2 linked regions of the Saccharomyces cerevisiae S288C genome follow. The protein of the gene in region 1 interacts with the protein of each later gene in a pairwise test. Each region holds a gene or a part of one and is shown on either strand. Other genes may lie near its edges. The genes, in order: PBI1 and PDR17.

Evidence for each region.
Region 2: the proteins of PBI1 (region 1) and PDR17 interact in binary tests that used the Saccharomyces cerevisiae proteins (3 or more experiments, as listed by UniProt).

What each region holds. Positions count from the first base shown.
Region 1 is NC_001148.4:26,055-39,824, reverse strand, and holds PBI1 (Pbi1p), read left to right. Parts: upstream 1-11,660; coding exon 11,661-13,214; downstream 13,215-13,770. Other genes in the region: DIM1 (putative dimethyladenosine transferase), read right to left, coding at 1-704; ACM1 (Acm1p), read right to left, coding at 1,027-1,656; PLC1 (phosphatidylinositol phospholipase C), read right to left, coding at 1,980-4,589; KAR9 (Kar9p), read right to left, coding at 4,878-6,812; ATP-binding cassette permease MDL2, read right to left, coding at 7,022-9,343; ATP15 (F1F0 ATP synthase subunit epsilon), read right to left, coding at 9,558-9,746; S-adenosylmethionine-homocysteine S-methyltransferase SAM4, read right to left, coding at 13,761-13,770. UniProt on the Saccharomyces cerevisiae protein: Phosphatidic acid-binding protein involved in interorganelle phosphatidylserine (PtdSer) transport.
Region 2 is NC_001146.8:141,717-156,425, reverse strand, and holds PDR17 (phosphatidylinositol transporter), read left to right. Parts: upstream 1-9,810; coding exon 9,811-10,863; downstream 10,864-14,709. Other genes in the region: ORC5 (origin recognition complex subunit 5), read right to left, coding at 1-1,326; POL2 (DNA polymerase epsilon catalytic subunit), read right to left, coding at 1,546-8,214; protein transporter YIF1, read left to right, coding at 8,586-9,530; IST1 (Ist1p), read left to right, coding at 11,145-11,171, 11,277-12,146; PIK1 (1-phosphatidylinositol 4-kinase), read right to left, coding at 12,348-14,709. UniProt on the Saccharomyces cerevisiae protein: Has phosphatidylinositol transfer activity. Involved in the regulation of the phospholipid composition of plasma- and endomembranes. Altering plasma membrane composition may provide a possible mechanism for multidrug resistance.

The sequences.
Region 1 (13,770 bases):
TTTTTCCTCACAAAGACGATTCTCAACAAACCATCCCATTCGTTGTAATCCACTTGCGGTCTTGGATTTTTAATCTCTAGTCTAACAACGCTGGATTCCACTTGTGGTGGCGGTCTGAAGTTATTCTTACCCACTTTCATGATGTGTGTAACATTAGCCCACATTTGTACATTGGCGGATAATCTACAGTATAATGAGTCACCTGGTCTTGCCAGTAATCTTAAAGCAAACTCTCTTTGAAACATAAGAATAGATACTCTTGGTGGTCTTGGTTGGTTAATTAATTTGAAAACCAGAGGCGATGAGATCTGGTAAGGAGTGTTACTAATACAGATATCAAAGTATGGTAATTCAGTCTTCATAAAATCTCCAAGCATGATTTCTAACTTTTTCTCCACAGGTGTGCCACGTACCCTCTTAGTTAATTCTGCAGCCATTCTGGGATCCATTTCTACTGCCACTACGTTTTTTGCTTGTTCGAGGATCCTTACAGTTAGGTTACCTGTACCAGGACCAACCTCCAAAACAACATCTGAGGGTCTAATCTGTGCCTTATCAACAATACCTTGCGCCACCAAAGGATTTTTCAAAATATGCTGACCTAGATCTGTGTTGAATTTAAATACTGAACTCAAATGTTTCTCGGCAGAGACTTGTTTGGACGAAGTTGCTCCGGAGTACTTCTTTTTCGCAGCCTTTCCCATGGTATAATTTTATTTTTATTTGTATCGATATAAAAGGTACGACGTCTAAAGCTTCTAACCGAATGAGTCCACTGTATAATGCACTGTTCCTAATTTATCGATCTTATGTTATAACCAAATATTTTCAATTTTCAGCTCATCGCGATTTTCAAAAATTTTTCTACCCTCTAACCCGGGTAATACACAAGGATGGATTTATTATTATTATTGATTCTTATTATTATTACTACTCTGTTAGTAATTTACACACGAGGTGAGGAATACGTGAATGAATTAAATTGGTATCGTTAATTAATTATTAGACGCTAACTGTGTACATTATTTACTCATCTTCATAGACGTGGAAGGACAGTTTTCTCACTACTTTTTTTTCACTGACGTCATCGGTAGAACGGGATATCTTTGTCTCTGGGTTCTGTCCTTGGTGTTTACTAGTGAAGAAAATAGATATCTTCGAATTTCTTGGCGGCGTTATAAAACTGGGTAGGCTGATTTTTTTATCACCCAGTGGCAACGTCAGTGGTATAGTCTCATCGGTGAGAGGATCCTGTATGTAACCTTTGAATTCGTCAACACTTAAGTCCTTCAATGCAATTCTTCCTCCTTCCCTTAAAAATGCTCTTTCATAAGGGCAAATTTTAGCGGGTGAAAGGTTTTCTTTTACTTGGGAAGGATTATTCTCATTGCTCACAGAATTGTTATTATTGTATATTTCATTATGTCTGTGGACAGCTATGTTTCTTTCTTCAGCCGTTTCCTCATACAGCATAAATTGTGCAGCTTTAGAAATTTGGATTGTCTTTATTGGACTTCGCCTTAGTGCATAGTCTGTGTCTATTTGTGACCTTCTCTTTGATGGTGAACGAAGTTCATTGCCTTTTACCACTGCTCGTGGTTTTTGGTTTATATTCTTGCTTGATAAAATGGTTCTCTTTTTTGATGGTGATATCATCTTTCAGTGTCTCTTACTTTATTTCTTCCAAAGGATCCTAATTCAGTAATGCTTAATATGTTCTCCTTTCTTTTTACTTTATATAGTATGATAACAAAAGCACAAAACTTCAGAAAGAAGACGCGTCAACGCGCTACGCGAAATATGCATCAACTTTCTGCTGAAGAGAAGGCAATCAGCGAAAAACAGAAGTTGTTATTGTGTATTGTCGTGGTACTTCGTCGTCCCATTTGATATATCCATTCTAGGTAATCATGTTGGTATATGCAAGTAGGTATATGTACGTATTTATGAATATGTGTATTTGGCCGGAAAAAGATCGCCTATAAAATTTGTGTATGAATAAATAAAGTGCAAAATATGTATTGTTCCCCCTCCATGTTAAACAACGGAATGTGACGATATCCCATCCTCAAATAGTTCAGCTTAAGGCAAACAGATGCAATCTGGGTCTCTTCAGAGATAACCATGAATTTTATAAATGTGAGGTCTGTATCTTTCAATGTGATAGAAACTTCAGCATCCCATATTGGGTTGAATCCATTCCCTTGAGAACTCTTAGTGGATGCTTCAGTGGCAGAAATCCTTGTACCCTTATCGATTGAGATGGGCATTGTCGGCTCGTCATCGGTATGAAACTCCACTTTAACAAAGGAATTGGTGTTATTTCTGCTTGGCGATGTATCATTCAATCTGGGCAATAACTGTGTAGATAAAATTCGAATTTTAACAGTAACAGGATCACTACCATTTTCAAAATGTTCGTAAATTAATGGAATCATTTTCGCCTTTGTTACTACAGGTAGCAACTTTTTTGGTTTTAGCACGTATCCTGATTTAAAACTTCCATCAGGTTGGTGATCTAATATTTGAAACATTGCCAGATTAAGTTGCTGTCCAATATCATTAGTTTGCCAATTCGTAGCCACCATTTGTACACCGGCCTTCCAAAAAGGTATTGGGTTAAAATTTGATGATTTGTATCGTAAAACGTGAGGATAGACTCTCATCAAATATCTTCTATTATGTTTATCCAACGATAATTTTAAGTGTTTGTCTTTTATCATGTATTCTACTTTGCGCTCATTCAGTGAAAAACAATGCGCTATCGTTTTGGACTCTGGTAAAGAGAAATTCCTGAACTTGATGCCATGTATTCCAGAAATGTTAGAAACATCATTAATTATATCAGCGTGCTTTTTTAATCCAATTCTTTTGATGCGTTGCATACTAGAAGAATTTGTTGCGCTACTACTGTTCGTGGAGTCATCTTTCATTCTTAATTCCTGTTCATTAGCTGATTCGTAAGAAGAACTAAAAGAAGATGGAAATGGCTCATTAACGCTAAGACCTCTAGTTGCTTCACTCGTCTTCTTGGATTTCAACAGTATTTTATGTTTTAATTCCCTTGGTGATGGCAGTTTATCAGTTCTTGTGCCAACAAAGTACAGCTGTTCTGCTAAAACCTCTCTCATTATCAGGCTTGCCAATTTTTGATTATCCTTGTTACAGTTTATTTCCAGTGAAATAATCAAAGGATACGGAGACGTTATAAAAGCGTACTTCTTTATCACGCGTATAACTGTTTTTAAGGGAATAGCTGACGTTAAAAATCCATGGCATACCACTGGCCCATTTTCACCATCCCATATATCAATTTCTACGCACCTACAACCTTGTTGTAGGACTTGAATATATCCCTCCACAGATGGAGTTTCTGCAATTTGTTTCCCCAATAAATAAGTATTATGTGAAGATGCAATAAAATAATGGTTTAATGGCTTTGAATATAACTCCTCTTTAACCTCCACCAAATATGGTTGCTCCTTCAAGAACTTGGTAAAACCATCTTGCCCCATCGTCAGCTGAGTCGGTTCTCTGTACTTAATAAAATATGACCATGCAGTTTGACGATCCACTTGCTCATGCTGCTCTGTAATTAAAAATTGAAAAAAATTTTCAAATGATAAGTGGGAGTGTGGAGGTTTTGTAAATTTAGACCAAATCATATTTACCTCTTTCCTATTCTTTAAGATTTTAATGAACTTTTCAAATTCAAAATAATTTAATAGTCCGTTATGATTGATGTCTGCTAATTGGAAAAACTCTAACAATTGACCAGTTGACACATAAATATGAAATTTATCACATAGTTTCTTCACATCTGCAAAGCTCAATGTGTCCTTTTTCTCATCTTCCTCTTTTTCAGAAACAGTAATTTGCCAATGTATCCTAGCGAATTGCGAATTATCAGGCAAAAGTATGCTTTCCATTAATTCCCTCCTTAACTTCACTAAACCGCAAATGCAGCTTAAGAATGTGTTAAAGTCCAATTCATTCAAAGCAACTACGTGTAACGCTTTCAATTTGTTGGAAACCTTATAAATAATAGCAATCCAAAGTTTACTGTCCGATCTCAATCTTTTCGGATCTACTTCCTCTTGATAAGTACTCGCCGTATCACCGATTCTGATGTCTTTAACGGAGTCTAATTCCAGATACTTCGAACCATCTTTCCATATTATTTGCCCGTTGTTATTGATTAATTTAAATTCATAGAACTTCCTTCTTCTTCTTGTCATCCTAATCATCCTGATTCCTCTTTGCAATACGCGACATAGCGTGCTGAGATCACAGTCTTTTCTTAATTTCTTGTTAACAAGCTCATTTATCCCATGTGAATAAGTAAGAGGCCCCATATGGACTCTAGGCAATTCGGCTGCTCTTCTAAAAATCGACCTTATGCTTCTTCTCACAGTACTTCCATTGTTCGCGCTTTTTTGGTCAGTATTAAAAGAGGATTGAAAAGAACTGTAACTTATAAAATCTAAAGCATCATCCTTTTGTGTTATTTTCCCTTGATCTCTGCATGAGTGTCGTTGTAACTCCTTTGTAAGATTAAACCTTTGGTCATCTATAGCACTTTCAGTCATTCATATACACTGCGTGAATGACCTTACCGTTGTACGTTTATAATTCCCAGTCTTTTATTGTTTTAATGACCTGAGGCTGCTTATGTCGTGATGCTTATACTATTTTTTTTATAAAGCGTCGGGTAAAGGTGTCAAAAACTGTAAAATGAAAACGTGCGGAATCTTCATGGACTATTTAAAATTACACATAATATTACATTATTTAAACTAGTATTACAAATTCTATGAATGGAGAGGGTGAGAGGGAGGATATATAAAAATGTATAAGTATACAGTTTTAGGTTAGTATCAATAAGTTGGGGTTTTATCTAAACGCCCTTCTCTTGGTGAAAGTAACTGTGATAAGGGGGTGGGAGGCCTCAATCGGGTTCTTCTTCTTGTCGAAGGGACCCAAACTTGACTATTAGGTGTCGTGATTTTTGTTGGCGGAGTCTGGAAAACCTTTGCTATCGGTGTGTTTTCTACGGTGACTTTCACCACTTTATCCTTGTATATAGGGATCCTAGAGGGCAAGGACCGGTAATGATTCCATTTATCTTTTTCGATGTCAAGCACAGACTTATTCTTTGCCATCAAAGGAGTTTCTGTAATCTGTACTTTATTTTCATGCCGAGATGTAATGAAGGAGTCTGGTGACTTTTCATTTTCCCCACGAGAAACACGGAGGGTGGTTTCATCGGTTTCGTCATAAGGTAAGGGAGGAACACTACTTAGTATCAGTTTTCCTTTGTTTGGCGACTCCGGATCAAAAAATGGATTAATCGCATTTGATGAATTTGGGCTTGTTGCAGGTTTAATATTCATCTTCTGCAGTAACGCTTTACCAAGCTTTTTACCTTTCAAAGCCACTGTAGTTGAATTTTCCGGTGTTTTATTACTGTCACCTTCATTAATGGCGACTCTCTCCTGGAAATCCTGGGTTATAGTTCCAATAACACTATTCGGTCGCCCAAAGCCTAATGATTTCGGTTTTGGAATCTTCTTCTTGCTAGTAGCTATTTTGTTTGAAGCGGAGGATTTGATTAGAATTTTATCCGCTGTAGGCTTGATATTCAGCCATCTTTGAGCTAATTCATTTGTCTTCGATGCGACGCCAGCGTCCAAAAGTGAGAATTCCAATGCTCTGTAAATAATATTGAATGTCTTAGAAACAGTTTTTGATTTTCTCTCCAATTGCCTCTCGAGCCTTATAGTGATATCTTTGGTATACTTTGTTGTCAGTAATTTCGACTGCAACCTTTCTATCTCATCAAGAATGTATAATAGTTCATGATTTAAATTAATAAAGAGTATATTCCAACGTTTGTCGATTAGTTCGACTTTCAATTCCCTAAACTCTGAATTCATAAATCTATAATCTTTCATTATCAGCTCGTATTTTTTTTGCAAGATTGTTTGCAAAGTAGTTATGTTTGTTATATTCCGGTGCCCAAATTGCACAATTCTTTGAGGTAGGATATCAGTCAAACTTTTTTCAATTGGAGGGATATTTTTTTTTAGGTTCAAGAACTTTCTTGATAAAATATCTTCTGCCGGAGAAAATTTTGGTACCTTTGGCTCAGTTGTCTCCGTATGCGTTCCTAATAACTTGACTAGTTGTTCTAGGGTAAATGATGGAGTATGCCGTATCGGGGACGCGAACCTTTCTTCCTGAATTTCCAGACAATACGATATATTGCTATTAATGATTTTATGTAATGTATCCATATGATCCTTTGAAATTTCGTTAAATTCCAATGACGTATCCAATAATTCCTTCAAGTTAGTAAGCCATGGCTCCAACTGAGTCTTAATTTGTGTAGATTCTTCTATGACGTCAAACATCGGGCTAAATCGATTGTATTTGTCGCTATCCTGATCGTCCTTCGAGAATTCATCCTCTAGTAAATCCAACAAATGAGCAAAACCTTCCTCAATATTATGAACGTCACTAATAAATTGATATAGCATATATTTTTTCAATAATAACCAGTCCATAAACAACAAAATATCGTCTTTTCCCAGTCTTTTCTTGTTGACTAAGTCGGGAATTACCGAGGCAACGTTCTCCAAATCATCATAAAATTGAACTAACAATGTCTCTGATATACTTGTGGTACTCTCATTCAATGAGTTGCAATCGTTTATTGAATGTAATGTATTGTGAATTCTTTCTAAACGTTCACAAAAGTTCTCTTGGAAGTCATCCCCAATGGTCATAGATCTGGGTCCATCATTATCCATGGCAGTGCTACTGAAATCTTTAAGGCTGTTACAGACAAAGATTCGTGCGGCCACATTACACTTTGTTATTGTTTCAATGTTATTTGTTTATGCTACCAAAAGTATCGATTCGGGTAATGAAAATCCTTTTTATTTGGCATTTAACAGTATTATATATAGTATATATTTAAATGTGCGAGATAAGAATGGGTATATGCGATGCGGATGACTCACGGTTGTGGTGTGATCTTAATTGGATTAGCCTCCTTTGCCGCGTCTTTCAGGAGATGTTCGACAGATTTTTCAATATCATCTGAATTATTGTCTTTCGTCTCTGGAGACTGGTTATTGCTGTCGTTATCATGATTATTATCATTATCGTCATTATCGTCCTTTTTCTGGTCATCATGCTCCTTACTCTCATTCAAATCTTCCTTTTCGATGACCTTCTCTATTTGCAGTTGTTGGTCAGATGGCCCAGGAGCCGCTTTCTCATTAAGTAATTGCGATAAAGCACTTGTTGGATTCGCATACAATTCTTTGAATTTGCCCATTTCTACCACTGATCCATCATGGCCAAGGACAATAACATTCTCTGATCTTCTGATCGTACTTAGCCTGTGCGCGATGCTAACAATAGTCATCGATTTTGATTTCATTAGTTGACCAAACGTATAGTTAATGGCTCCTTCACTTTCAACATCTAAAGCTGATGTAGCTTCATCAAGAATCAAAATAGTTGGCTTTTTGATTAGAGCCCTTGCAATCGCAATACGCTGCTTTTGTCCTCCACTTAGTAAGGTGCCGTGAGGACCAATTACCGTATCGTATGTGTTCGGAAATTTTGTGATAAAGTTATGGCAAAAGCACTGCTTTGCTACTGACCTGATTTCTTCCTTTGTTGGGGTATATGTCAACCCATAAGTGATATTATCCCTAATAGTACCTGACATCAGTACCGGCTCTTGCTGAACGATACCAATATGCCTTCTTAGGGATTTACAATTCAATTTAGAGATATCTTGGTTATCTATCGTAATAGTCCCAGTAGTGGGATTATAATATCTTAGCAGTAAGAGTGCAATTGTAGATTTACCACGACCTGAAGGGCCCACAATACAAACACTCGATCCTGGCGCAATTTTAAAATTTAAATTCTTGAATATTTGAACAGAAGGCCTTGTAGGGTAGCTAAATGAAACATCTTTAAATTCGATAACACCACGATCTGGTTTATACTTGTGTCCCACAGTCGGTGAAATGGAAGGTTTCCTATCTGTTAATTCAAACAACCTGGAAGCGGCCCCAGCACCCTGCATAATTTCCGAATAGAAGGTAGAAAGGCCGAATACCGCATTCCCCGTATATTCTGTGTACAGCATAAATGCAGTCAGATCACCAATGGAGAGCTGTGATTGTAAAACAAGATAGGAGCCATACGCAAGGACGGTTAAAAAACTTAGGTCACCTAAGAGACTAGTTGTAGTAAAAAACTTTGCGTTTGTAAATGCCGCAGTTTTTCCCACCTGAAAAATATCTCTAATTGCAACGTTATACCTAGACAATTCATTACCTTCAGCAACAAACGACTGAACCGTCTTGATACCAGAGAGTTGTTCTTCAGCGACTCTAGTCAATTGACCAGTAGCTTCTTGAAGGTCTTTAGAGGTGTTTCTAATTTGCTTCCCGAACACTGAGGCACTAAAAAGAACAGGTGGAGTGAAGAATAGTAACAATATTGATAGTTGAGGTGACAAAGAACACATCATCCCCACGCCAACAACCCCACAAATTAGGGCTTTGACCCCATCCGAGACCTTCTGGGTCATTGATCTTGAAACAACATAAGCATCAGATCCTAAACGAGAAATTAAATCCCCAACTTTATGGTTGTCGAAGAATTCTGCGTCTTGATGAAGCGTTTTTTTAATGACATTTGCCCTTAGGCGTGCAACAACACGCTCACTTAGTATCCTCAATAATATAAATCTACCAAAATTAGCAGCACAACCAATCAGTAAAGCAACAGTAAAAAAGGAAAGAAACTCATATAAAGGCAAAGAAAAAATCGGTATCTTCAAATCAAAAAAATCTGATCCAGATGACGTCTTAAGTGTGTCAAGGACAATACCTATGACTTTAGGAATAGACATGCCTATGGAACATGATATGGTTAAAAGAAGTATGGCTGTAAGAAGCAGTTTCCAATCCCGTTTCGCCAACATAAATAACCTTATTATATCTTTATAGTCATCAGTTTTAGATTGCTCCTTTGCATGTGCCGACCTTGCTGATCCTTTAGATATGGGAGAGGCTGAAGGCAGAGAAGTTTCTGGAACTGTTTTGGATGAATTACATCTAAAACTTTGTAAAATTAGTGATTTTCCAACTGCAGGTGACCTTAAACACAACCGACTGAGAGGAATGAGCTGCGATGAAGAAGGGGTGACCAAAGACCGAAACCTTATAGATGGCAGTTTAGCCAGTCGGGGACGGGACAGCATGTTTCTGCATATGCCCAGCCGCAAAAGTGGTAAACGACCATTCAACATTGCGATTGGCGATGATGGGACATATATTTCTTTTTCTTTTAATGCAATGATACAAACTTTATACCACTCTTCGAAGCGGCCAGTATTCAATATCATTGTAGTCATTATTAGTTTCCCGTATAAAAGTACGTAAGTTTTCATACACAGTTGCTAGAATATTTAAAATGTATATCAGCGAGTAAAAAAAGAGCTGCAGTTCCCAGGAAGCGTTAAACTATTTTGTTATTGGAGTGGGTTCAGAAGCTGCAGTGCCATTTTTATATTGGGTATAAAAAGCATCTGTTTGCGATCTGTTAAGAACACTAGCGGTTTGTAATTCAGTTTTCAATGAAGAACGGATAGCCTGAGCGGCCACATTCAAATATGCAGCATATGATATACCAGCTTTCCTCCAGGCAGACATTTTATGAATCGGTTGTGGGCTGAAACTGTTGATGTTTCTTAGAAATACATATCTTGCTAAGTACTCAATAGAAAGGCCTACTTGTATCTCTTCATTTAACTAGACGAAAAAGGGGAGGATCAAATTTCATTGGTTCGTATAAAAGTATTAAAAAATAAGCGCGTTGCCAGACTTAGTGTGAGATAGTAAGCTAGTAAATCATCTGCTATTACCTAGTTTAGCGTATTTCCTAATAAGGATTACCAATTCCTCAAGTTCATGGCTTGGTAAGATACAGCTATAGCTTTCTTAGTTTTTTTCTTCGAGAGAACTAGTACAATGCTTCTATAGAAGTTAAGAAGTTTACCTTTTCGAAGAACAAATATATTGTTGCTTTGCTTACTCCGAGGTTATCGACTATTTTTGGCAATCCGTTTGAACCTGGATAAATACGTAAATCAGACTTTCTTTAGCCGGATCAACTCTTTTTTTTTTGTAAGCACTCTGACTTGTCGCTGCTGTGTCTGCCAATAATTCAATAATTCATAGTATTTCATACCATATGCTTTATTTAGTGTCCCACTGATGTGAGTTGAAGAATTGTATTCAGATAGGCATATCTTAAGGTCCAACTATTGCCACCGTCGTAGTGCGGAAAGGTTGATTATCGAGCGAATTAGAGGAATAAATGCTGCTATGCGCACGATGAGCAAATCGGAAGTAAACCACGCCGCTGATCCACCTGAACAAAAGAATCTCGCGGAGTTACGATTTAATGTAGGTTTGCTCAGATTACGTTACTGATACTTTACTTTGGACAAAAGTTCTCATACAAACTGTGGAAACAACACCGCTTAAACCAACGATTATGAAATGACATGGTCTAAAGTAATATAATCTATATTAGAATGTGCAGATGGCTATGGTATCCATGCGATGGCAAACCTCCGCAATGATTGGCGTTCTAGCGGCTATCCGAATTCACAATCGACAAGAAGTACTTCTAACTTACACAAGGCAACGAAATAATATCACTCTATGAAACTGCCATTTGGGTAATAGGAGTATATTGAACGACACCGGGTCAACAAGCAACTTTCCTAAGCCTTTTACACTTCTTCACATCATTCAAGATCGCCTTTTAACGAGCTACAAACCTTCACGTTCGTTCTTCTATGGAAACGTTTAAGATAACGTTAAAACGTTCTCAATCACAGAATTTAAGATGATTAGAAATGTTTTCCAAGGGATAGGGCGAAGCACAACCTCGAAAAATGGCAAAATTTTAGAATCTTAGCCACCTTAACGTCTACTTAGAGCCTTAGAAAAGCCATCAAGATTGGTGGAATAGTTGTTGAGGGAACTTAGCCGCCACATTCTCGTAGCCAAATAAAGCGAATCTGACCATTGTATGTTTCTTTTTCACTGGTATGATAGCCCAATGTGTTTAAGGAAAGTTAGGACAACACACCCGAAGAAGGACGTCACCCCTGCATTCCCAAACGAGCTATGAAATAGCTCTTTCCTCTACAAGTAATAACAACAACTTTTTTGTCTGTTTTCCGACCGTTTAACTTCAGAGATTAATTTTTTCAACGCGCTTTCGTTGAACGTCGCAAATTCGTTTAGAATAAACGAAAGGTGACAGAAATAGAAGATTATAGCCATGCATACGCACATAAATTGAAAACTGTTTCGAGGCTGAGTATTCCCTGCGTCTGCAGCCATCAGGGGTATGACTCTGCTACACGTTTACTATATTCTTGGCTAAACGATTCATTAACGAAGCGATGAGTAGATCACACTCGGCATACGAGCACAAATTTGTATGGGGGGACGGTCATATATAAAAGGGTGTATACGTTATCCTTGTTATACCTGTCCAAAGAAGTGCATTTGTAACTCACAACACAGACACATCCTCACTTTATCATAATGACTACGTTTAGGCCACTATCAAGTTTTGAAAAAAAAATTCTCACTCAATCTTTGAATGACCAAAGAAATGGAACTATTTTTTCGAGTACATATTCAAAATCTTTAAGTAGAGAAAATGACGCTGACTGGCATTCTGATGAAGTCACGCTCGGAACAAATTCTTCCAAAGATGATTCTCGTCTGACTCTGCCCCTAATAGCAACAACTTTGAAGAGATTGATTAAATCGCAACCGGCATTGTTTGCAACTGTAAACGAAGAATGGGAATTCGAGCCATTGAAGCAGCTGAAAACTTCCGATATTGTTAATGTGATTGAGTTTGAAACCATAAAAGATAAGGAGGTCAATTGCCATTGGGGTGTTCCACCTCCTTATCTCTTGCGTCATGCCTTCAACAAGACTAGATTTGTTCCCGGATCAAATAAACCTTTATGGACACTATATGTAATTGACGAAGCGCTATTGGTTTTTCATGGTCACGACGTATTGTTTGATATATTTTCAGCAGCTAACTTTCACAAATTATTTTTAAAAGAGTTAAACGAAATCAGCACAGTAACACACTCTGAAGATAGGATTTTGTTTGATGTCAATGACATCAATCTCTCAGAATTAAAATTTCCCAAATCGATATATGATAGCGCAAAATTACACCTGCCCGCTATGACACCACAAATCTTCCACAAGCAAACTCAGTCATTTTTCAAATCAATATACTATAACACTTTAAAAAGACCTTTCGGCTATTTAACCAATCAAACTTCCCTCAGCTCGTCAGTATCTGCAACACAGCTGAAAAAGTATAATGATATTCTAAATGCGCACACCTCATTATGCGGGACAACAGTATTTGGGATAGTAAACAACCAAAGGTTTAACTATTTAAAGTCAATCGTTAATCAAGAGCATATATGTCTAAGAAGTTTCATCTGTGGTATTGCAATGATATGTTTAAAACCTCTCGTTAAGGATTTCAGCGGTACAATAGTATTTACTATTCCCATAAATTTAAGAAACCACTTAGGCTTAGGTGGGTCATTGGGTCTCTTCTTCAAAGAACTAAGGGTCGAATGTCCACTTTCTCTAATTGATGACGAACTTTCCGCCAACGAATTTTTGACCAACAGTAACGATAACGAGGATAATGATGATGAGTTTAATGAAAGATTGATGGAATATCAATTTAATAAAGTTACAAAGCACGTTAGCGGTTTTATTATGGCAAAACTGAGGAGTTGGGAAAAGAATGGGTTTAATGATGACGATATAAGGAGGATGAAGTATGACAATGACGACGATTTCCATATCCAAAATTCAAGGACAAAATTGATTCAAATCAATGATGTTTCCGACATATCGTTATCGATGAACGGCGATGACAAATCTTTCAAAATTGTAAGTACGGGATTTACAAGTTCGATAAATCGCCCCACATTAATGTCTCTTTCCTATACATACTGTGAAGAGATGGGCCTGAATATCTGTATTCACTACCCTGATTCGTATAATTTAGAATCTTTTGTAGAATGCTTCGAATCCTTTATTGAATAGGCAGGTGACGCATTAAATATATGTCTGTATAGTACGTATTTTTTCCATTTTATTTATTCTTATCAAAATTTAATCAACATATATGCTAAAGAAACTATTGATAGGAGATATGACAGGAAATTGCACTGTTTCTGGAACTTTGGCATGCCGAGGCCGTCATTTCCAGTATAACTGAGCAAAAAGAAGTGACGGTAAATACAGCAAGCTGCGGCATTCAGGGGACATATCTTTACGAAATAGTCTGGCCTATGTGGATTTAGTAGACAGAAAAAGGGATCTCGACAGGTTCGTGTGGCTACACCTTTTCATCCATCGTGTATGCCTAAATTCTGCTGTGCTAAACTGCTAGTTTATTAATTCTCGCCCGATTATAATAGACATTTTATTTACTCTGTTTTTTTGTCGGCCAAGTACGGAAAGTCATGGTCGCTTTGAAAAGCATTGTATTAACATACTTTCTATTGTTTATAAAATGTATTTAGTGTAACATGCTGCTTTTAGCATATATATAATGTTAAGAATTATTTAACTTCTTTAAAAACGCATTTACGTGTAT
Region 2 (14,709 bases), on another chromosome or scaffold:
GTCGATATTCTTGTTCATGGTTGTAGCTATTAATTTCAATGTATGCAATTCGGATAAATTTTGAAAAACCTCGATATTCGCTTTCATTAAGGATTCCTCACGAAGTGCAGATAGGGAACCACTCTCCGCCTTACCTTGAATAGGGAATATAGCTTGGAAAATAGCCAAAAGTCTTTCAATAGCAAATAAAGAAGGCTGTAAATATCTAGGGTTAACTTCTTTCTTCTTTCTTCGTCCATAAGCAGCTCTACCTTGTATGATACGTGTTTTCCTAGAGAAAATACTCGCATCGTATCTAGGTTCCAGATATGAACAAATATATGAGGCTATGAGCAGATACTTCGAAATTATTGATAAGTCGTAAGTTTGACTGTTCTCAAGGTCATCACGATTTGTGGTTATCGCGCTTTCACCTTGTCCATTTTCACTTAAATTATCATCTGTGCTTAAAAATAGTTTGATGGCACTTTTGTAAAGAGCCAGTGGTTCAAATATGTTTTCCTTAGTAATGCGAGATACATACTTGGGCCATTTGAAGTCTATCAAGTCATTCAATGCGAATATGTCGTTTCCAGTATAAGAATGAAAAGCCTGCACAATTAAGTGAATGAAGTTCGCAGCTACATTTTGAAATTGATCGTCTGTACAGTCCGTTATCTGCTCTTCAATGATACGCTTACGTAGACAAGAATCTTCCATGAGTTCGCCACATCTAGACATCACTAATATAGTAGAAACTTCGTCCACATTATACCTCGGAAACATAACAGTTGGAATGCAATGTGTAGAATATCTTTGCAAAAATGATGTCTCTAACATCGTGTAAATGAATTTTATATTAATTTTAGAATCTTTTGGAAGTAATTCATTTAGTTTGATATATTTGTTAAACAGTGCGGCGTCTAAATCTTGTAAACTATCGAAACCATCCAATATCAAGAACAAGCAAGTCTTTTCTTGCAAAGATTCATATTGGACAAAAATATTGTGCAACGTCTTTACCAAAAGAAATGGCTCTTCAACCTGTAAAGGATCGTAATCTGTGGTGGGAATGTTTGGATATAGGGTTTTCAATTTATATTGTACAGTACGTGCTATCGCCTGCAGTAAGGGCTTCCAAGAAACCAACTCAACAGGTTCCAGCCATACTGCATGCAAATTTGGATTCGCATTAAAATACTTCTTCAAAGTGTAGGTTTTTCCTGTTCCACTATAACCTTGCAAGATTAAATTTGAAGGAGTTATGTCTGGATCAGCAGAAATATACGATGCGAGACAGTTGGTTTGATATTCCCTAAAAGCAACTTCCGGAGTGGTCACATTCATTTTATTTCCAAAAGTATTAAGAAGAAAATAAAAGAAAAGTACTTGTGATTTAAATATCAAAGAAGAGTGTTAATTATGTTCAAGGGCTAATTTTTCGGTTATTTATATTTATATGTTCAGAAACGAATTGAAAATACTCTTTTTCCTTACCTTTTTTTTTTTTTTTTTTTTTTTTTCATGGTAAAGAGGCCATTGAACCTCGCGTTATATACTGCTTACTCATATGGTCAAATCAGCAATACAACTCAATAATATATCAAAACCGTAATACTTGGCTACTTGCTTAAACACATTTAACTTTTGAACAATGCTTTCTCTGGGGAGAGTTCCTTCCCACGCGCCGGCACATGGACAGTGGGCACTCATATAGTCACGTTTCACTTTATGACATCTGGAGCATCTCAAATCTTGAATTAAATAGGATTCGATATCAGAACGTAGTTTTTGAATCAGGTGTTCTTGCAACAATACTTGATTAAAGGCTTTGTGACATCTGACGCATGAAAAAATAGATTCAGGAGCTGCCTTACAAAAGTCAATATCAGAAATGAAAAAACAGTATTCACATAAAAAATCCGGCACCACGAGACTCAAACTTGGATCTTTGAATTCCGCTACTTTAGCAAACTCACGCAATTCAAATATCTTCAGCAGTTCTTTTCTCAGGGTCCTGATTTCTAAAATTGTACTCTTTGAAAGTAACATGACATGGCAGAGTGATTTGACAAGTTCTAGAAGGGGATTTTTCACATTCAGATGGGAACCAGGAAGAACAGGAATAACATAGTCTGCCTCATACTGAGGATCTAAAATGAACTCTTGCTGGTTTTTAAAAAGCTTTTTGACTCTTTTCATTAGTGGTTTGGAAAAAAGGTGAGAAAATCCGTTCAACGAGTTTTCAACACTATCTTCCTTATCTTGTTTTTTTACATTAACTATTTGGGTAGGTCTTTGCGTCCCTGAATTCAATTTTAGATAGCTCTGCTTTGTCTTTAGCATACTATCCAATATGATCATCATCCAATCCTCAAATTCGGGCTGATATATTGGTGACAGAAACTTCTTTAGTTGCCATTGCGAAACAGCGGTATAATCCTGATTTTCCTTTTCCTCTATTTCAATACATGCTAATCCACTAAAATTAAACTTATCCATCCATATTAGCAGATCCCAATAACGTTTGATATTTAAGTCCAGATAACTAAACATTGGATTTGTTCTAACTGCCTTCATCATATATTGGCTGTAGGCGTAACAGTTTTCAGGTGAGTACTTGTTTGTCTTTATTAGAATTTGATTCCTGTCTGCATATACAATAGTTGAGCCAAGTGCACTAAATTCATTTACTAATTGAAGTAAGGCTTTTTTTGTTAAGTTATGAACGTGATATCTTAGTAATCCGTCGAATAGTTTCGCATTCGGGTTTTGAACCCAACTTGCCAGGGAATTTACCAACAAATCTGCGGTTGAATTTTCTTTTAGGGCCTCATCCCACCACTCCTTTAACATACCTCTTAAAACATTCAAAGCGTCATTAGAAAAGGCGTCGTGCACGAATTCAGATGGCGAGTTAATAACGGCATCTTTGTCATCTATACCCATATTATTGTTAACTAGATCACTGCCTTCAGCATCATTGATTAATGCTGATGTCAAAATTGTGTTCACTGTTAAATTATCAACACCAACATCGAGAACTACATTGTCATACACACCTGAGTTATTAATTTTGGGAAATTCTGAATCATTCATTATCCATGATGTATTTAAATCAAAATCATTTTGAATGCCTCCATGATCTGGAAGTGGAGCTTTCTCATTCCACCAAAGCACGATGTTCTCTTTTTTTAGTTTTCTTGCATAAAGAACATCAATAATATAATCCATACTATCCAGCCTCAAATTACAGATTGGAATGTTACTATACTGGGATAACTTGATCAAGTGAGAAATCCACGAACCACTGGATAAAACGTGGTTAACAAGTTTCTTCAATAATGTCGGTTGCCAGTTCAATTGGGGTAGAAGAACTTCATTCAAGGAAAGCTTAACAATGGGCATCTGGTTTAGAAGCCGGATTGTGCCTAAGAGCTTAGTGATAAACGGAGATTGTAACAAGAGTAAAAACTGCAGACCTCTTTCTTCTTTTAATTTAGTAGTTTCCTGTGATAGTCTTCTGTACAATTTTGAGATATCTGTAAAATATACAAACTCAAAATTGATATCTTCTTTAATATCAACCAAGTAAGAATATGTTTCTATTTTACCTTTCTTTTTTTCAAACATTTGTTTGTATATTTGTCCTAATGATGAGGCATTTATTTCCTGAGCCTGGTTGGATGGTTTCAAAACTAATATAGTAATAGTATCTCCCCATGACTTGAATAATGAAAAAAATTCATACCCAATTGATGTTGGGAAATGTAGTAAATAGCCAATGTCCATTGAAAATCCACTCAGATACCTTTCATTTTCCGCCATTGAAAGATCCTTCATTTCAAAACCCTGCTGTATTCCCTTGCCTAACGCACCCATTGCTTTTGAGCGGAACGTTACCGAAGCTCCCAAATCCATGATCGCTCTTTGATGAGGAGTGATAGTGCCCTCAAATACACCAAGTACATTTTCATCGTTGAAGATACTAGTGCAGTTTTCCTTTTCTTCCAGAAAGACAGATTCCGGTAGAGTAATTTTGAATAGCTGACCGCCTGCTGGATTAGACGTTTTGGGATTATTTGGTAACGATGCAGAAGATTTTTCAATAAGGCAATTCTTAATCTTTTGTAGCGGCATTGTTTGAGATTTGAATTTCATATAAATAGTTTTTGGTATATGGAAGGTGATGTTCTGGACTTTGCCATTAATTGTTACAAATACTTCCAAAACCCCTGGCTCACCGGAATCCTTGTATTGTAAGACCTCCCAAGTGGAGTTCGCATATGATTCAGCTTGCTTCCTAATCATACTTCCTAGTGCACTTCTTTCACGGGAGCTGTTTGTATTACCAAATAATTGGTCTCGACGCTTTCTATCTCTTGCTTGGATTTTCCATTTAATTTTTTGATAATTTAGCCACCCAACATAGTCCTCGTCCATGGAAGGAATCTCCGAGGGCAATACTAGTGGATCTTCTTCATTTGTAAGCTGATTTCTTTTCCTCTTGGATACGGCTTTCTTTTTAGTAGTTCTTGCAATTTTAATTTTGGCGTTATCTTCTTCTACAGTTGGTTCAAACAAATCCTCGATATCTTTTATCTTGCCCATTGTTGGTACATTCTTTGTCTTCGAAAAAAATTTGGTTAGTGAAGTCTGCTTAAACTTATCCTCCTTTGTAGCGATTTTTCTTTTTAGCCAATCTGGATGTTCAACCCTTGGAACAGGATTGGAAACCCCTTGTAATGCTGCTGGAATAGTAATTATCTTTTGTATAGCAGATCCAAGTCTTTCTCTATAATAACCCCAATCGATTATGGTTCTGATATCCAGATCTTCCAAAGATGGATCTAATGTCCATCGCCTCAGAAAAGACCTTTTGATGGGAATGTCCGCTGAAAATATTGCGACTGGAATGGCTCGTTCAGTAACAGGTGCATTGAAAGGTTTTGAACTAATAATATATTTACATTGTAGACCTTTATCTTTTACCATATCTTCACCCAAAAAATCCCCCAATCTCCTTGCCGTCGTAATAGAAGTAGATTTTTGCCCTTCATATTCCTTTAAAGTTTTTGACATACTTCTATTTTCACAAATCAAACTGACCAAGTCTTCATCTTCTAACATAAGACCATGTGAATCAAGAACATCTAACCAACGGTTACATACGCTTGCTACAGCACTGTAACATCCTTCTAATGTATCACCTTCCAAAAAGACCTTGAAAATATCACTTTGAAAATTTTTTATTAGTTGTAATTCACCACGCCTCTTCAATTCAAAACCTTTCAGTTCAGCAAGTGAGCCGTCTTCATTGAAGACAGCATATCTTTTCTTTATACCTTTTCCTTCTTCCTTGGAACTAGGCAAAATCATGGCCTTATATGGTCCGTCAACTTCGAAAAAAATCGTGTTTTCACTGTGCGTCTCATATATATAGTTCAATGGGTCTTTTAATTCTTGGTATTGGTGATTCGTAAACTTTTGGTGAACTCTGTAATTCAGCATGGAACATGGGTAGGAGAGATAAAGCTTTTTACCATTTTCTAATGTAAAAAAGTAAGTTTCAGGGAAAGATTTTGGTAAGATACACCAAATACCATCAGTATCTAATTCTAATGGTCTTCCTACCCTTTCTACTAAAGCTCTCGCCATTTGAATGATCGTGGCACCTGTTAAACACGTAATCCCCGCCATTTCCATGGAATACCAACGAGAGCCTTTCCTCATAACATACCCATAAAACGAATTCAAAATAACTTTGTGAGCTAATTGTAATGAGTCATAAAGCACAATCATCTTTTTGGCCTCGTCTCTCGCATGCTTATCAGATGGGTCAATTTTGGACAGATTTCCCTTCCAAGTCTTGGCTAAACCTTTGAATTCGTAACGCCTATCACGAAAGGATTTCACGGTATCGACGTAGAATGGATTTTCTCTTTGGCAGACAATGGCTTCTCGTTCGACAATTTCTGATACTTTAACCCTATGATAAACTTTCCTTGAATATTCAGTTAAACGTTTTTTTATGTGGATAACTTGGTCTGCGTAACTTAGTTCATCAAATGTCAAAACTTTCTTTTTAGAAAACTTGTTTTTGTTGGGAAAAGTCTCATTTTGTAATGCACGCTTGATCATGTTATACTCATCCATCTTACTGGGAAAGAATTCTCCTCTCCAAGCCCATTTTAACTTTCTTGCACAGGTTTTTCCGGGTCTATTAAAATCGCAACTAGCACAATCGCGCTCTGCTTTGATACTATCTGGTTGTAGTCTATTTGTAGTCATGATGTTTGGGTACATAGAGGCGACATCTACATGATAGATCAAAGGTAGTTCGTTTCTTATATTGTTTTCCTTCAACTCTAATAATTTCTGCGTTATCTGGTTTTTTATTTCCTCAAAATTCGTTACTTTATCTACACTGGACTTATTTTCAACTTCCACACTAAATTTCAAAGCTTCTGGTAATTCTTGTAATAATTCATCAATGGCAGAAGGATCTATCTTGAATTCATTCTTCAAATCACTCCTAAAAACACCAGCTTCTAATGACTCCACATGTCCACCCACGTAAGTCTCGGATTCTAGAAGATGTCCATCATAGAACCTCTCAATGGGATCTGTATGCTTATTTGGTAGAAGAATATTATGTTGATAAGCTTGAACCATCAACAACATTTCACACAAAGTACCGGTACCCTTTCTCAATGTTTCATCCGGGTTCAAAGGAATAATAGTACAAAGGGAAAAGATAAAAGGATGAACATATTTCATGTAAAGGTAATACGTAGCGACTGCATCGGAAACAGAATATTCGGAAAGGTGCTGTGGCTTTTCAAATGCATACGGCGTCATTAATTCGGGATCCAGTTCAATTGGGTTATAACCTAGCTTAGATTGAGTAACAGCTTTTAAACCCTGGGAACCTTGTGGTAAATAAGAATCACGCTTCACCCAACGGAAACAATCCATGTGAGAGCAGTATGAGGACTTGTACTCACCTTCAGCATCTGGAGCGAAACCAATTTCATCGAACATGTCCAAGCCGTGAATCTTACTTCTGTTATGTATAAAAGGCCAATCGAAAAAGTCACCATTGAAGGTGGATATAACAGTGGGTCGTACATCTCTTATATGTTCAAAAAACCTTTGTAGAAGCGCCACTTCATCGTTTTCGTTAAATATGGTGAAAAAACCAGGATACTCCGGTTTCGGTGTATACTCAAAGTCTTCAATATCCTCAGAGATTATCTCCCTATTTGTTATCAAAAAACCTTCCCCATCGATCATATACGAAATCATCATTATTTGATCTACGGCGGAATCCGGGAATTTTAAAGGCGGCTTCGTGGTTTCTATATCAAATGCCATTACCACAGGGTCGGCAAATGCAATTTTCCTAGTATCTTCAATGAATCCCTGTTGAGTTACCTTATACCATTTACCGACTCTAATGTCCTTGTCTATAGATACTCGGACATGATACGGCACATCATATTCCCTGATATCTTCGATCAGATGTTTGGCGTCAACTTTTTCCGAGCCATTTGCAGCAACGTTATATATATTTCTTTGCACATTATTATTGGCATTATCCTGCAAGATTGGCCTCAGGAGTTTCCTGGCCTCGAATAACTGATTGGAATTTACAAATGATAACTTAATAAGTGTCTTCTGCAGCCCTAAAAGGTGATTGTCCATGGTAAGATCTTCCTTTCTAATGATTTGTAAGCTTTTGAGACAAGATTCCAGATATTTTTTCACTAGTTCCTCCACATCATTTACTCTTGATTCATCGTTACACGCAATAAAGAAGTATGGGTCATAGACAACTGTCGACTTGAAGCTCCCACCCTCTTCATCTAAAAAGTAGAAGTCAACTCCGGAAATACCTTGGTTGGTCGTTACACGTTCTCCGTCATTCGAATTGCCGCCGCCATTACTACCACTGGATAAGGTTTCCTGAGAGACCAGCGTTGCGTGCATGTTCGTCAGCCACCCTACGCGGCCTGGAATCTGATCTATATCCTTCGCATCAAACCTGCCATTGTATTGCGGCGGTACGTATCTTTCAAATCCCATCATCGAATCGATGTCATCGATCTTACTAGCATTTAAGAGCTGTTGCGCGCTAAGCGCATAATTATTTGAGAGTGTGTTGTACTTGTTGCCAGCTGAATATCTTGCAGTGGAAGATCCTCCGTTGTTTTTTTTCTTGCCAAACATCATATACTTGTCCCCTGAGAGTGTTATCTTGATAGAATGTGCTCTTTCATCATCATATGCTCTTTTTGATAGGTCCTCTTCCAGTTAAAATGGTAAAAGATGCAAGAAACTTACGCGTTCTGGTTACCCTACCTGAAAATAAACCATTCTGACAATTCAAATGACAATAAACTTGGGCCTTTGACGAACACTGACAGTGTTACTATTACTTTTTCTCAGTGCTAAAACAGCATATCCGAGACTCTGTATCAAGATCCATATTGCACACCAGAGCTGTTGTTTTATACTACAACTCATCTTTTTGACTTTTCGATTGTAAGACCTCGCTACTGAGTATCAATAGCAGAAAACGAAAACCAAAGGCCCATACCAAGATGTCTTATAATCCGTACGCATATGCAACAAGTGAGCAGAATGGCGTTAACGATCGCTTTTCCCACACTCCACAACAGCAACGACCAATGCAAATTCCGAGGAACACGCCCGTGAATGGCCAAGGTAATGCGAATATGAATGCAAACGTAAATGGCAGTGGCGGTGGTTTTCCATTCCAAGATCCTCGTGGTTCGATGGCATTCCAACTAGGGCAGAGCGCATTTTCTAATTTTATTGGTCAGGATAACTTTAACCAGTTTCAAGAAACGGTCAATAAAGCCACTGCAAACGCTGCCGGCTCTCAACAAATTTCAACGTATTTTCAAGTCAGCACCCGTTATGTCATCAATAAATTGAAACTCATCCTAGTTCCTTTTCTTAACGGAACCAAGAACTGGCAACGAATTATGGACTCTGGCAACTTTTTGCCACCAAGGGATGACGTGAACTCCCCAGACATGTACATGCCTATTATGGGACTAGTTACCTATATTCTCATCTGGAATACGCAGCAAGGTCTGAAGGGTTCATTCAACCCCGAAGACTTGTACTACAAACTGTCTTCTACTCTGGCGTTTGTGTGTTTAGATTTGTTGATTTTGAAGCTTGGCTTGTATCTTTTGATCGATTCTAAGATTCCAAGCTTCAGTTTGGTCGAACTGTTGTGCTATGTCGGCTACAAATTTGTTCCATTGATTCTCGCCCAGCTTTTGACCAACGTGACCATGCCATTTAACCTGAATATTTTGATAAAATTTTACTTATTTATTGCCTTTGGCGTATTCCTACTAAGATCCGTCAAGTTCAATTTACTAAGCCGCTCCGGTGCTGAAGACGATGATATACACGTTTCCATCAGCAAATCGACCGTCAAGAAGTGCAATTACTTCCTATTCGTCTATGGCTTCATTTGGCAAAATGTTCTAATGTGGTTAATGGGTTGATCTTGATTGAAGAGATCAAAGAGAGGATTTAATTTCATGCGCATTATTATTATCTACGGTCAATTTGTTAAATACTTATATACTTTTATTCCTACGTCATAAATTTTCTATTTACTTTTCTTATTTTTCCTTTCACTCAATATGGAGTGGAAAGAGAACAATAGAGGGATTAAAATTCGTGGGAAAAATCACGCTTTTTAGATAGATTTAATTTACATCATTGTTTAAAAAAAAAGACCCTGAAAAATCACACAAAGAAAGCACAAGAAGAAGAACAAAAATGGGTCTTTTTTCAAGAAAACGGGACCATACGCCTGCTGTGCCTAAAGAGAAACTTATTCCATGTGATAAGATATTCTTGGACCCTCCTGCCAAGTATGGTAACGCACCTCTACTGGAACCCATCTCCGAAGATCAAAACGAAAAATATAGAGCTGTCTTACGACATTTTCAAGATGATGATCTGAAATTACCAGAAAATCTCAATGACCTTGACAATGGGACACATGCCAATGACAGACCCTTGAGTGATTGGGAGAAGTTTTGGCTTTCTAGGGAGTGTTTTCTAAGATACCTAAGAGCCAATAAATGGAACACCGCGAACGCCATAAAAGGTCTCACCAAAACCTTGGTATGGAGGAGAGAAATTGGACTTACACATGGTAAGGAGGACAAAGACCCTTTAACAGCTGACAAAGTTGCCGTTGAGAACGAAACTGGTAAACAGGTTATTTTGGGCTTTGACAACGCTAAAAGACCTCTATACTACATGAAAAATGGTCGTCAAAACACAGAATCTTCCTTTAGACAAGTCCAAGAATTAGTCTACATGATGGAAACTGCGACAACTGTAGCTCCCCAAGGTGTAGAAAAGATCACAGTCTTGGTAGATTTCAAAAGTTATAAAGAACCTGGTATTATCACTGATAAAGCTCCACCCATCTCTATTGCTAGGATGTGTTTGAACGTCATGCAAGATCATTACCCTGAAAGGTTAGCTAAGTGTGTCCTGATCAATATCCCATGGTTTGCGTGGGCTTTTTTGAAGATGATGTATCCGTTCCTTGACCCTGCCACTAAGGCGAAGGCTATCTTTGACGAACCATTTGAAAACCACATAGAGCCATCTCAACTAGATGCTCTATACAATGGTCTGTTAGACTTCAAGTATAAACATGAAGTCTATTGGCCAGATATGGTTAAGAAAGTTGACGATTTACGATTGAAACGTTTTGATAGATTTTTAAAGTTTGGAGGCATTGTCGGATTAAGTGAATATGACACCAAGGGCCAACATGACGAATTAAAATATCCTGTTGATATGGTCATTTGATAAACTATAATTAAGATTTTTTTTTTTAACGTTTCCCGCTACACAAACGTATATATCTAGACTCAGATGTACGTTTATAATGGCTGCTTATGCGCTTATCGCATTTTATATACTTTTAGAATCAACTGAATCGGCTATCCGCACTCTATTGTTTTGTTTCATGAAAAAAAAAACGCCTTCTGAATTCCAAAGGGTGTGAAAATTATATATACTATTAGTTCCAGCTAATCAATCAGAACTAGTCAACATAGAAGATAGATAAGAGAATACGACAACTAAAAATGGCTCCGTCAATGATTCCGTTCACTGTATGTTTATATTTTATAGTAATTTTTAAAAAGCTTTAGTATGCAAAAGATCTAGGATGTACTAACTGAAGAAGGGTAAAACTATCATCCAAATTATTGTTATAGATCAAGCTTAAAACATGCCTGAAAATGTGTATTCAAAGGTTAAGATATGCTCAAGAAAAGCAACAGGCGATTGCAAAGCAGTCTCGAAGACAGGTTGCACAACTGTTACTGACAAATAAAGAACAGAAGGCGCATTATCGTGTGGAGACGCTAATTCATGACGATATTCATATTGAGCTACTAGAGATATTGGAACTATATTGTGAATTACTACTGGCTAGAGTGCAGGTAATAAACGATATCTCCACCGAGGAACAGCTTGTCAAAGAGCATATGGATGATGGTATTAACGAAGCTATCAGATCCCTAATCTATGCGATTCTTTTCGTTGATGAAGTCAAAGAACTTAGCCAATTGAAAGATTTGATGGCCTGGAAAATAAACGTTGAGTTTGTTAATGGAGTAATAGCAGATCATATCGATGTCCCTGAAAAGATTATAAAAAAATGCTCTCCCTCAGTTCCAAAAGAAGAACTAGTTGATCTTTATTTGAAGGAAATCGCGAAAACATACGATGTGCCATATAGTAAGCTGGAGAATTCCTTATCTTCGTCGTCTTCTAACATTTCTTCAGACTTTAGTGACCCCTCGGGAGATATCGAGGATAATGACGAAGAAAAGCCTATTTTAGCCTTAGATAATGACGATAATGACAATGCAGATGCTAAACACCCTATCACTGTTAAAAAGCCTAGGCAGAATAGTGAAAATATCAAGAACGAGCTCAAGATTCCGAAAGATATCAAAAAGGAAGTGATCGAAAAGAAACAATCAGAAAAGAAAACTACAAAAAGAAAGACTAAGAAGGAGCAAGAAAATGATGAACTAGATGAGTTGAAGAAACGGTTTGACGCTTTACGCAGAAAATAAGATAATAATTTATATGTATGGTTAATTAACCACATATTTATTTTACTCTCATTCTTTTACCTTGCTTTTTCTGAGTCAGCTGCTCTATTATTCTCGGCAATAAATAAATATATGTATATTCCTTTTACTAAAATTCCAATTTTTTTGTTCTCCGGACATTTGCAAATTGTTTTTCCAGTTCTGTCACAGCTATTTTCCTTCTCAGCTATATATACCCTGTGTAATAAGTTGAAATTGGTCGTATATTCTGGTGTAAATACTACCCAAAGATTTACCTATCAAGAAATTTTCTACGAAGTCATCAACTTCTTTTTCTGATAAGTCCAATTGGAACCTTTGTCGTAGTTGTACACTTGTTTGTTCGCCAGCATCGAAACAAGGCTGCATATTGTCCTTTTGCATAATCTCACACATTGATACGATTTGATCAGCATACTTTCTCAGAGCCTTGAACGAACTTTTAGTTAGTTCAACAAACTTTTTAAACGCTTCTCCCTCTACTCCGCCTAGCAGTTCAATATATTCGTAAGTTAATTTGAATGGTGCGGCCTCAAAGCCCACTGAGCCGGGTGAATTTGATAGCATAAATCCAAAATCGATGTGACTTACATGGCCTTCGTTATCGATCATAATGTTACCGTTGTGTCTATCTTTAACCTGCAAGAGATAGCAAATGACAGAATATGCGGCTAACGAAGAAGCAAAGTTGTCTTGTGCTCTTCTATACTTAAATCCATTAGGATTACCAAAAGCTCTAAGGAAGTGATCATTCAAAGAGGCAATACCACCCTTGTCATCTAGTTCTGCATCTTCAATCATTTTTTTGGTTAAAGCCTTTTTAATACTATGCACAGACATAGCATTTGTGATGGTCTCCACAAGTCCCGTATTCGCACTAGTAATTAAAATTTTCATTCTTTTAACCCAAACGTCAACTTTTTCTTTAACCCAAATATTGGCCATCGCTTGAATCATCTGGTATGCAAACGCCTCCTGTCTCAAATCATCACCCGTCTTGGCGATTACAGAACATAAATCCCAGTTTTCGAAATGGCCATATTCCGAAGTTTTACGTATCCTCTCTTTCTTGGTAGCCCAATCTTCACCTAGATATGAAGTGTCAATACCACCCGTCATTAAATCGTTTTCCAATTTTCTCTCACCTGCCATTCCATGAAGGGCTTCCAAATCATGGTAACCAAATTTATCCTGCACCTCCTTCATTGATGAAATAATTTGAGCGCGGATTTGTTTGGTACTTTCTGATAACTGTTGTGGCGACTTATCCAATTGTGCTAACATAACAGCTGAAACTCTCATCTGGTCTGCTAAAGCGTCAGTTTGGCTATGTATATTTTTGCTATTAATTCCATTCTCGATGAGTACTTCGTCCAAGTTTGAGCCAAAGTTCAACTCTGGGCTTCTGTCTTGACTATCATCAGGTAAAATTGGAACATTTGCGGCACTCTGTATTACTAAAGCATTTCTATACGCTTCGTCATCCGTTCTGTTCCTGACTTTTACCATTGACATATCACCTAAATCTTCCTCTTTATTGACTTCAGTCCTAACATGAGCTGTGGACGCTGAATCACTTCTTGAGGTACTGGATAGACCTTCATTGCGGGAGGCCCCGTTGTTGAACGAGTTACTATCATATACCGAAGATCGAGTGTTGTTGCTAGTAAGAGTACTTTCATTTCTATTTTCGTTGTTTTCTTTTCTATTCATGTAATTTAAATCAAATATCAAGCCTCCCTGATTACCACTGATCTTCTTTAATAATCTTTCATTGGTTTCACTTGTTGGGTCAAAATCAAATTCGTCTCTCAAGTATTCTATCAGGAGTAAATATGGAACTTTTTCTGCAGAGTTCAAAACTTGTGCCTCATTAGCAGTAATGGTCACTAATTTATGTAACTTTCCTTTTTTATTTGGAGGCAATAAAGTGGGGATATCTACTTCCGCTGGTAGGTCCCTGTTTAATAGAAACAACTCGGCTCGTAAGGCACTCAATCTAGCTTCTGTCGGTACTCGAGCTAGCCTTTGAGATATTGTTTCTAGCGCAATGGCAAATTGTGTCTCGCAACGAAAATAATTTGCTTTTAACATTTTTATTTTTGAAGTGGTCGATAATTGCGACAAGTCAATTTCTTGACTCAAAGAAGAATTCGCTTTTTTACTGTTTTTGAATGCCTGGCGCGAAAGGGGTTGGGAATTGGTCCTGTTTAACTTAGGTGTCCCTTCTAAAGAAGCAGATGAAGCAGAAGAAGTCCTTGGTTGAATATTATGCAGATCTGGCATAGAACTGGTGAAGTGATCAGAGTTTAAAGCGTCCGCGTCCTCCTCCGTTTCACCACCAGTTTCATCTTCATTGTTACCAATCTCATTATTTTCATCATTACGTCCCTTTGGAGAAATATAATCACCTTTATTTCCATCGAGAGCCTTTGCGGTATTTGAAATGCTTCCGTCCCTGTTTATATTTTTGCCATCATATGTCCTATGAACGTATGAATTATCCAAATACTTAGGTTTACGTTTTGGGAGTTTGATTGAAGAT